Canis lupus familiaris: one gene and its partner. The protein of the gene in region 2 interacts with the protein of the main gene of each other region in a pairwise test. Links are inferred from orthologs where the notes say so. Each region holds a gene or a part of one and is shown on either strand. Other genes may lie near its edges.

What was found.
Region 1: the proteins of SGTA (region 2) and GRN interact in binary tests that used the Homo sapiens proteins (3 or more experiments, as listed by UniProt). The two-hybrid records come from large-scale screens. The link is inferred for Canis lupus familiaris from reciprocal best matches to the Homo sapiens genes SGTA and GRN.

The regions. Positions count from the first base shown.
Region 1 is NC_049230.1:18,958,065-18,961,807, reverse strand, and holds the start of GRN (progranulin), read left to right. Parts: upstream 1-1,517; 5' UTR 1,518-1,670; exon of another isoform or gene 1,671-1,840; intron 1,841-3,743. UniProt on the Homo sapiens protein: Secreted protein that acts as a key regulator of lysosomal function and as a growth factor involved in inflammation, wound healing and cell proliferation. Regulates protein trafficking to lysosomes, and also the activity of lysosomal enzymes.
Region 2 is NC_049241.1:56,912,113-56,915,855, forward strand, and holds the start of SGTA (small glutamine-rich tetratricopeptide repeat-containing protein alpha), read left to right. Parts: upstream 1-1,373; coding exon 1,374-1,473; intron 1,474-1,914; coding exon 1,915-2,021; intron 2,022-2,291; coding exon 2,292-2,376; intron 2,377-3,328; coding exon 3,329-3,428; intron 3,429-3,743. UniProt on the Homo sapiens protein: Co-chaperone that binds misfolded and hydrophobic patches-containing client proteins in the cytosol. Mediates their targeting to the endoplasmic reticulum but also regulates their sorting to the proteasome when targeting fails.

The sequences.
Region 1 (3,743 bases), on a different chromosome or scaffold from region 2:
TTAATATGTTCATTTATAGATTATCCTAACATTTCATGAAAAATGTGTGTGCCCATACTTTATTAATGGAAGCATAAATGGGACCTCCCCTTGCCTCAGGATACTCAGGAGGTAAACTGTGTACAAATGTCACTAGCGTACAGGGTTGTCCTGATTCTCAGCAGGAGCCTCACACACTCTCCAGACCCTCTCTAGCCCCAGGCTGAGCACCACTGCCACACACAATTCCCCAACCCTGCTACTCCCACACACAGAATGCCACCACCCCTGAATTGGGGTGTTTGTCATCTCCCCCAGCCACCCCTCTGCCCAAGCTCTTTGTTGAGCCTGTGGTGCTCTCCATCCACACTGTACCACCAAACACTGCCTGTCCCCCTAGCCTGGCACTGGGCTTTCTCTGGGCCTCTCCTCTTTCCTGGTGCATCTATCAACCATTTTTGGCCTGAGCCAAAATGGCCTTTTGGCACGGAGCAGCCTGGCTCTTGTTGCTGGCCAATCTGTTCTGTGTAGTACCTTTCTCTCCTCACCGGTTATTTCAATTCCTGGAAGGCAAGGCTGACTCTAACGAGGAAGCCACTTCCACTATGCTCCCACCCCCAGCCCAAGCCTCGTGTCAGGCACCCAACAGCTCCTCAAGCCCACTACGTTGTACTTGGCATTTAATCCCTGCCCAACGCTGCTCTTCCCATCTGGTTTCCTAATGCTCTTCCTAACACCCCCTGCTCAGGAGCTTTGCCAACCCCTGTCCACCTGCCAGTTAACATTCTCCCAGGTTCAGCTCCAAAAGGTGTCCTTAAAGGGGCGCCTGGGTGGTTCACTTGGTTGAGTATCTGCCGTTGGCTCAGGTCATGATCCTAGGGTCTAGGATCAAGCCCCAGTCCAGCTCCCTGCTCAGCAGGGAGTCTGCTTCTCCCTCTCCCTCCGCTCATGCTCGTTCTCTCAGATAAATAAATAAATAATTTTTAAAGTGCCCTTAAGGTAGAATTAAATCTTTTCCTCCCTGCCAAGAGCCAATCTTCCACCTCTGCCCTACACACATCCATTAATACCTGGCACACGATCTTGCACCTTAAATTAGATTGAACGTGAGCCTGTCTCATCTCTCTACCCACTCACACCCGGCCAGGAGCACCCTGAGGAAAGGGCCTGAGAGCTGTCTATCCTTGCCCTCACAACCCTCCCTTCGGGGCCTGGCTGCCCAGCATTTATTCTGAGTTCGTTGAATACAAAAGAAACAGGATGCACAGGTGTCCCTAACCCAGAAGCAGACATCCTGTAAACGCCCTGGAGTGCACCCCCTAAGGGGCAGCTCCCTTCGCCGGCCAACGCACTCCGGGGCCACACCACCTCGGGAAGACTCCGCCAGGCGCCCGCAGCCCGGCCGAGCCCGGCCAGGACGTCACATGATTCTCCAATCACATGATCCCATAAAACAGTGGAGGGGGGAGGGTGGGAAGCGAGAAGAAGGGAGGGACGACCGCGAATTGAGTAAGAAAAAAAAGCAGAGCTTTGCAGGCTGGCCCCGCCTCTACCGTCGAGCAGCAGCCAGTAGGAGCGCGACAGCCCGGACGCCTGGCCAATGGGAACGGAGGTGGGCGGGCCGTCGCGCCGCAGGCCCTAGTCCCGAGCTGCCCGGCCCGGCTTCGCAGCGAGCGCGGGGCCGGTCACAGGTAAGGAGGGTGGCCGCGCAGACCTCTCGCTTCCTCGGCAGTTCGGCCGGGCGGACGTGAGGGCTTGAGGCTCGTCTGGAGTTTCAGCCGGGAGGCAAGAGAAGACTGGCTCAGAGAAGCTCCTTTGGGGCTTTCCGATGCACAGGAGGCAGTTTTACGGGGGGCCGGGGGTAAGCAGTGATTGCAGTGACCCCCACGAGAAGGGGGCTCTCTCCCTCTCCAGCGGCTCCGGAAGCTGCAGCCCCTTCCCCAGAGCAGGGACCACCCCATTCTTGAGCCGGCTCCGGGCCGGTCCGGGTGCTGCTGCTGGTGCTGCTGGTGCTGCTGCTGGTGGTGCTGGGTGGTCCCCGGGGCACTGGGAGCGAGAGAGGCGCGCGCCCTGGTCCTGGAGCTCAGAGGGCTGCGAGTGGGCTGGTGGCCCTGCCCCCTCCAGGGTAGCAGGGCCGGGGGGGTGGTGACCGAACGCGGGGGTTGGGTCTGCCGCTCCCGTACTTCCTCTCGTGGGGGGTGGGACCAGCCAACTTCCGCCTCTCCCGGCCACTTTTCCTGCTCACTCGCAGTTGGGTTGGCTCACCTTTTGGGAATCTCTCTCCTGACGCTGGGAGTTGGGGGCTGCCACCTAGTGGAAGATGGCAGAGCTGGGGGCTTGGAGAGGCTCCTGTCCCTCTCTACCTTGGGAGTGGGGGGTGGCGGGAGAGAGGTCATCCTTGGTTGTGAGTGTGTGCGCGCGTCTGTGCATTGGTATCCACTAGAAGCACACGCTGTACTCCCTAACTTTAGGATGCCAAAGACTGCCCCGTGGTCCCAGATTTGTGCAGACAGGCACCTCTTCCGGCCTAAGCCAGGACAAGGGACAGCCTACGGAAGGTTGAGGTGTGACTCCCAAGAAGTAGGCGGGACGAGTCTTGCCTGGAGCTGTGAGTGTAGAGGAGAGGGTGAAAGGGGCCAAGGTATAGGACCAGCCAGGCGGTGTCCCCTGGAAACGGTCTCTGAGCTGGGACTGGGGCCGCGAAGAGAGCCAGGTGAGGGAGAGAAGGATGCAAGTGACTGGCTGGGTGTAAGTCGTCGCCACACCCAGTGTGCAGTGTCCACACAGACTCATGGGGGAACTGAGGCCCCAAGACAGCAACTTTTGAGGCTCTCACCATCAGTGGTGGCAATTCTAGGACTAGCACCCCAGTGCAGTATCCAGCACCCCTGTGCTTCTCATTTCTGTCCTGCCTTGTCCACCTGCTCAGAAAATGCTTCTGTCTCCCTCCTCTGCTTGGACCCCAGGCCTCTACTCTCCTGGGGTTCAGGGGTCCATTCCTGGGCACTGTGCATGGTGCCACCTGGTGACATGAACCCAAGTCTGGTATGCTTTGTAGCTCTCAAAGCCTGTCATCTCCATGACTGGATATATGACAAGGGCATGTTACCGAACTTCTCTGAGCCTCAAAGTAAAGGTAATTAGTACTTTGGATGGCTGTTGCAAAAAAGAAAGAAAATAGGATAGAGTATTGTAACTGGCCCGGGAAAGGCTCAACAAACTTTTTTTTTTTTAAGATGTTATTTATTTATTTATTTATGAGACACAGAGAGAGGCAGAAACACAGGCAGAGGGAGAAGCAGGCTCCTTGCAGGGAGCCTGATGCGGGACTCGATCCCCAGACCCTAGGATCACACCCTGAGACAAAAGCAGACACTCAACTTCTGAGCCAACCAGGCATCCTGAAGCTCAATAGACATTACTAGTCTTGCCCCTCCAGGCAGGGTAACATCTTCTGGGCCCATCCCATTGAACTAGTAGGGCTGGCTGAGCTTGGAATACTCATTTAGGAAGTCAGAGGTTACTCCCCAGAGACTCATGATTGGTTTCTTCTGCTAGTGCAGCTGTGTGAGTGCATGTGATCTTCTTCCTGTACTGCTGAGTTTCAGCTTCCGGGTAGGGGGTCGGCAGGGTTTGGGGGTGGTATGTTTGGGGAGTCTTAAAGGGCCTGGTGGTGTTGGGGGAGCCCAAGGGCACAGGTGTCTCAAAGGCTGGCCCGGCCTGTGCACCCCTTCCCTGGGTGGTTGGGGACAGCTGGGGGGGTA
Region 2 (3,743 bases):
TTTTTTTAAGTTTTTCCTTTATAATTGAGGTATAAATCGTTTACCTTAAAGTATGGTGGTTTTTGGTATATTTACGCTTCTCTGAGTCCAGAACATTCCATCACCCCAAAAAGAAACTGTCTCCATAGCCTTCACCCCCATCCCCCCCGGCCCCCACGAGCCCCCTCCCCGTCCTGGACGTGTCACACACGTGGGCTCACACCCCGTGGGGCCTCCTGTGTCTGGTTCCTCCACTTGAAGAAGCAGCTGTCAAGGGACACAGATTCCCACGAAGCAGAGACCGAGCAGACGCGCCCAGTGGAGGCACCGTCTCGGTGTGGCGCTGGCCTGCGTGGGGAGCCTGGGGCCACATGACGGGCTCTCCCCGGCTTTGTTGAACCATCGTGGCTGGTAACAAGCTAACAAGAGTGCCAGCAGGAGCCCCGCTCCTTGTTTTCTGTGGGGGCACGGGCTGCTCACCCCCCTGCAGGCGTTTTGGGGAGACCGAGGTGCTGACTGCTGTGGGTTCCTTGGGCCGGCCGCTCCTCACAGGCCACGGTCCCCAACCTGTTGCTTTTGTCGGTGGGAGCGACCAGGGAGGTCGTGGTGTGGAGGGGATGACACAGTGTTGCGTGACGTGCCTGACCCATCATAGACCCTTAGGTAGCAGAACCCTCTTGCCCAGAATGTTCCAGACCAGGGCTCTCCCCTGGGCATGGCTGACACTGGAACTGATAGTTTTCCATTATGTGGGCGTCCTGGGAGCCGGGGGCTGAGCAACATCCCAGGTCCTCGTGGCCCAATGCCAGGAGCACCCCCATCGTGGTGACCACGGATGTCCCCAGACATGGCCCAGAGTCCCTGAGGCAGGGTCACTCCCGGCCTGGGAGTCCAGCACTTGGAGAGGGACCAAGAGCTGGCCTTCAGGCGGCCTGGAAGGGGCTCCGTGCCCCTGCACCTTTCGGGCTACTCTGGGCCCCTCCCCTCCCAGCTGTTTACCCCTCACTTACTCTTCAGATAGAGCTGGCCAGGCGAGGCGTCTGGGGGCTCAGGATGTGAAGTGTCTGCCTTTGGCTCGGGTCACCTGGGTCATGACCCCAGAGTCGGGGCGGGGGGGACGTCGGCTGCAGCCCCCTGCTTGTGCTCTTGTGCCCTCGTGTGTTTATGCTCTTTCTCTGTCAAATAAATAAAATCTTTAGAAAAGACCTGCCCAGGGCACTTAAAGTGGCTTCCTTGGGCCTGGGGCTCGTGCAGGCCTGGTGAGCCAGCACCCGGAGGTCCGGGGAGCCTGGAGCAGCAGGTGCCACCCGTGCCCTCGGTCTGTGCTCCTCACGGCCCTGGCTTGGCTCCACAGATCTTGAAAACCCCAGGGCATTGTCTCTTCCTGTTTGAAGATGGATAACAAGAAGCGTCTGGCCTACGCCATCATCCGGTTCCTGCACGACCAGCTCCGGCACGGGGGGCTCTCGTCCGACGCCCAGGAGAGCTTGGAAGGTACGTGTGGGCCCGCTGTCCTCCCTGCTTCCCGCCACACAGCCAGCCCCGTCACCTCAGGCCCAGCTTCCTGCAGGAGTTCTGGTGAGCTCCCCATATTTCATCAAGGTGTGGTTCCAGAACATTCTCCACCGTAGTCACACTGATCAGAGAAGAAAGGCTCATTTTAAAGAAAGGGTGGAATGGCCACAGCGCCTGGGAGCCGCACAGGGCTGGGGGACAGGATCCCAGGCTGGACCGGCACTTGAGTGGCCTCTGCCCGGACCCCGCCACCAGCCCCTTGGCGTCCACCTGGCTCGGCCTACAGTGACACAGTGGGAGTTGGCGGTTCGGCACCTGCCATGTGCCAGGCCTTTGACCTGGGTCTCACAGAGAGGGGACTCCCCAGAGCCCCAGAGTCTGGGCTGCATTCAGAAGAACATGCTTCTGTCCACCTCACAGTTGCAATCCAGTGCCTGGAGACTGCTTTTGGGGTGACAGTGGAAGACCATGACCTCGCCCTCCCTCAGACTCTGCCGGAAATATTTGAAGCAGCTGCTGCAGGCAAGGTGAGTTTCTGGGCTTCACAGGATAGGCGTAACAGCAGGAGTCGCCAGGGCCCCCAAGCACCCATGCAAGACCTGAGTTCTCCCCCAGGCTGCTTCCCGGCTGTGGACCAGGGAAGTGGGGGCCCGGCCCCGGCCTGAGGTGCTCTCCACAGTGCCTAGCTGCCCTCGGGTGGCCCCTGAGCAGGAGGGAGGCCGCGGGTGTGGGCTTTTTGGAGGAGGAGACGGTAGGGTTGCCCTCTGCCTGCAAACGACTTGTCTGCCTTGGGACAGGAGGTGCCGCAGGACCTGAGGAGCCCCGAGCGGACCCCGCCTTCAGAGGAGGACTCAGCCGAGGCAGAGCGCCTCAAAACCGAAGGTGAGCTGAGACTGCATCCCCACCAGGCACCTGACCCACCTGGCCTGCGGGGCGGCAGGGCCGGGGGGGCCCTGGGGTGCAGCTGTGGGAGGGGAGCCGGGCCCCTAAGCACGCAGCGCCAGCATGTGGGAGGATAAGCCCCGCGCTCGGCCCGCGGGGATGTATGCGGGGCAGCCGCCAGGGAAGGCATTCCCCGCAGCTCCCCGGTGGCCACACGGCGGGCACGTGGCCCAGCCAGTCCCCTCCCACACCCAGGACAAGTGCAGGCGTGTGTCCACAGCACCCAAAAGGTAGAACGGCCCAAATGTCCATAAACTGGTAAAGGGTGAACAAAACGTGATGTATCCATGTTCTGGAATGTCCCTTAGCCCACATGTACCACCCCAGGGACGGACCCTGAGCCCACGACGCTCAGGGAGGGAACCAGATACAGGAGGCCCCACAGGGTGTGAGTCCATGTGTGTGACACAGCCAGGACGGGCTCGCCCACGCACAGGGGAGGGGGCTCAGGGGCCAGGGGAGGGTGAGGAGTGACTGCTCATGGGGAGGGACTTTTTTGCGGGGGGAATGGAACGTTCTGGAATTAGGTTGTGGCGTTGGACACTTGTGAATTTCTAAAAGCCGCTGAGTCATTCACTTTGAAAACGTGAGTTTTACATTCAGATTACATTTCGTGAAAATTGGTTTCTTGTGAAAGAAGGAGCAAAGAGACTTATGTTTCCAAATGTCACGACCAAAGCAGTGACGGTCATCACCCAGTGCCGGCTCAGGCCAGAACCCAGATCCTCCTCCACACCCCAGCACCCCTGAGTGTTGCATCCTGGCCCCCCGGACCCTCCTCCCCAACGTCTTGCACCTTCAGGGAGAAGCCCGGGAGAGCTGGGCTGGACGTCTCGGCCCCTGGGATGTGACGTGAACAGCTGGGCATACGTTGTTTTTTCTTTCCCTTTAGGAAACGAGCAGATGAAGGTAGAAAACTTTGAAGCTGCCGTGCACTTCTATGGGAAAGCCATCGAGCTGAACCCGGCCAACGCCGTCTACTTCTGTAACAGGTAGCGGCTGGGCGCGCTCGGGGAGGTGTTGACACTGTAATCATTCATCCAGCGCCCAGATAAGCAGCCAGCAGCCTGTGGCCAGCAAGGCGTCAACAGGAGCTGATCGTGGCATTAAAATCAAAGTTAGGGACACCATTCTGCACAGGTGTTGGGTGAGGACGCAAGCCAAACCACGGGTGACCATATCGCGCCTGCGCTCACGGTGGCATTACTGCTGGCCATGGGGAGCCCCGTGTGGCTGGTGCTTTAAGGGAAAGTTGCCTCAGCCTCCCAGAGCCTCCCAGTACGGACCGCCGAGCTGACGACAGGGCC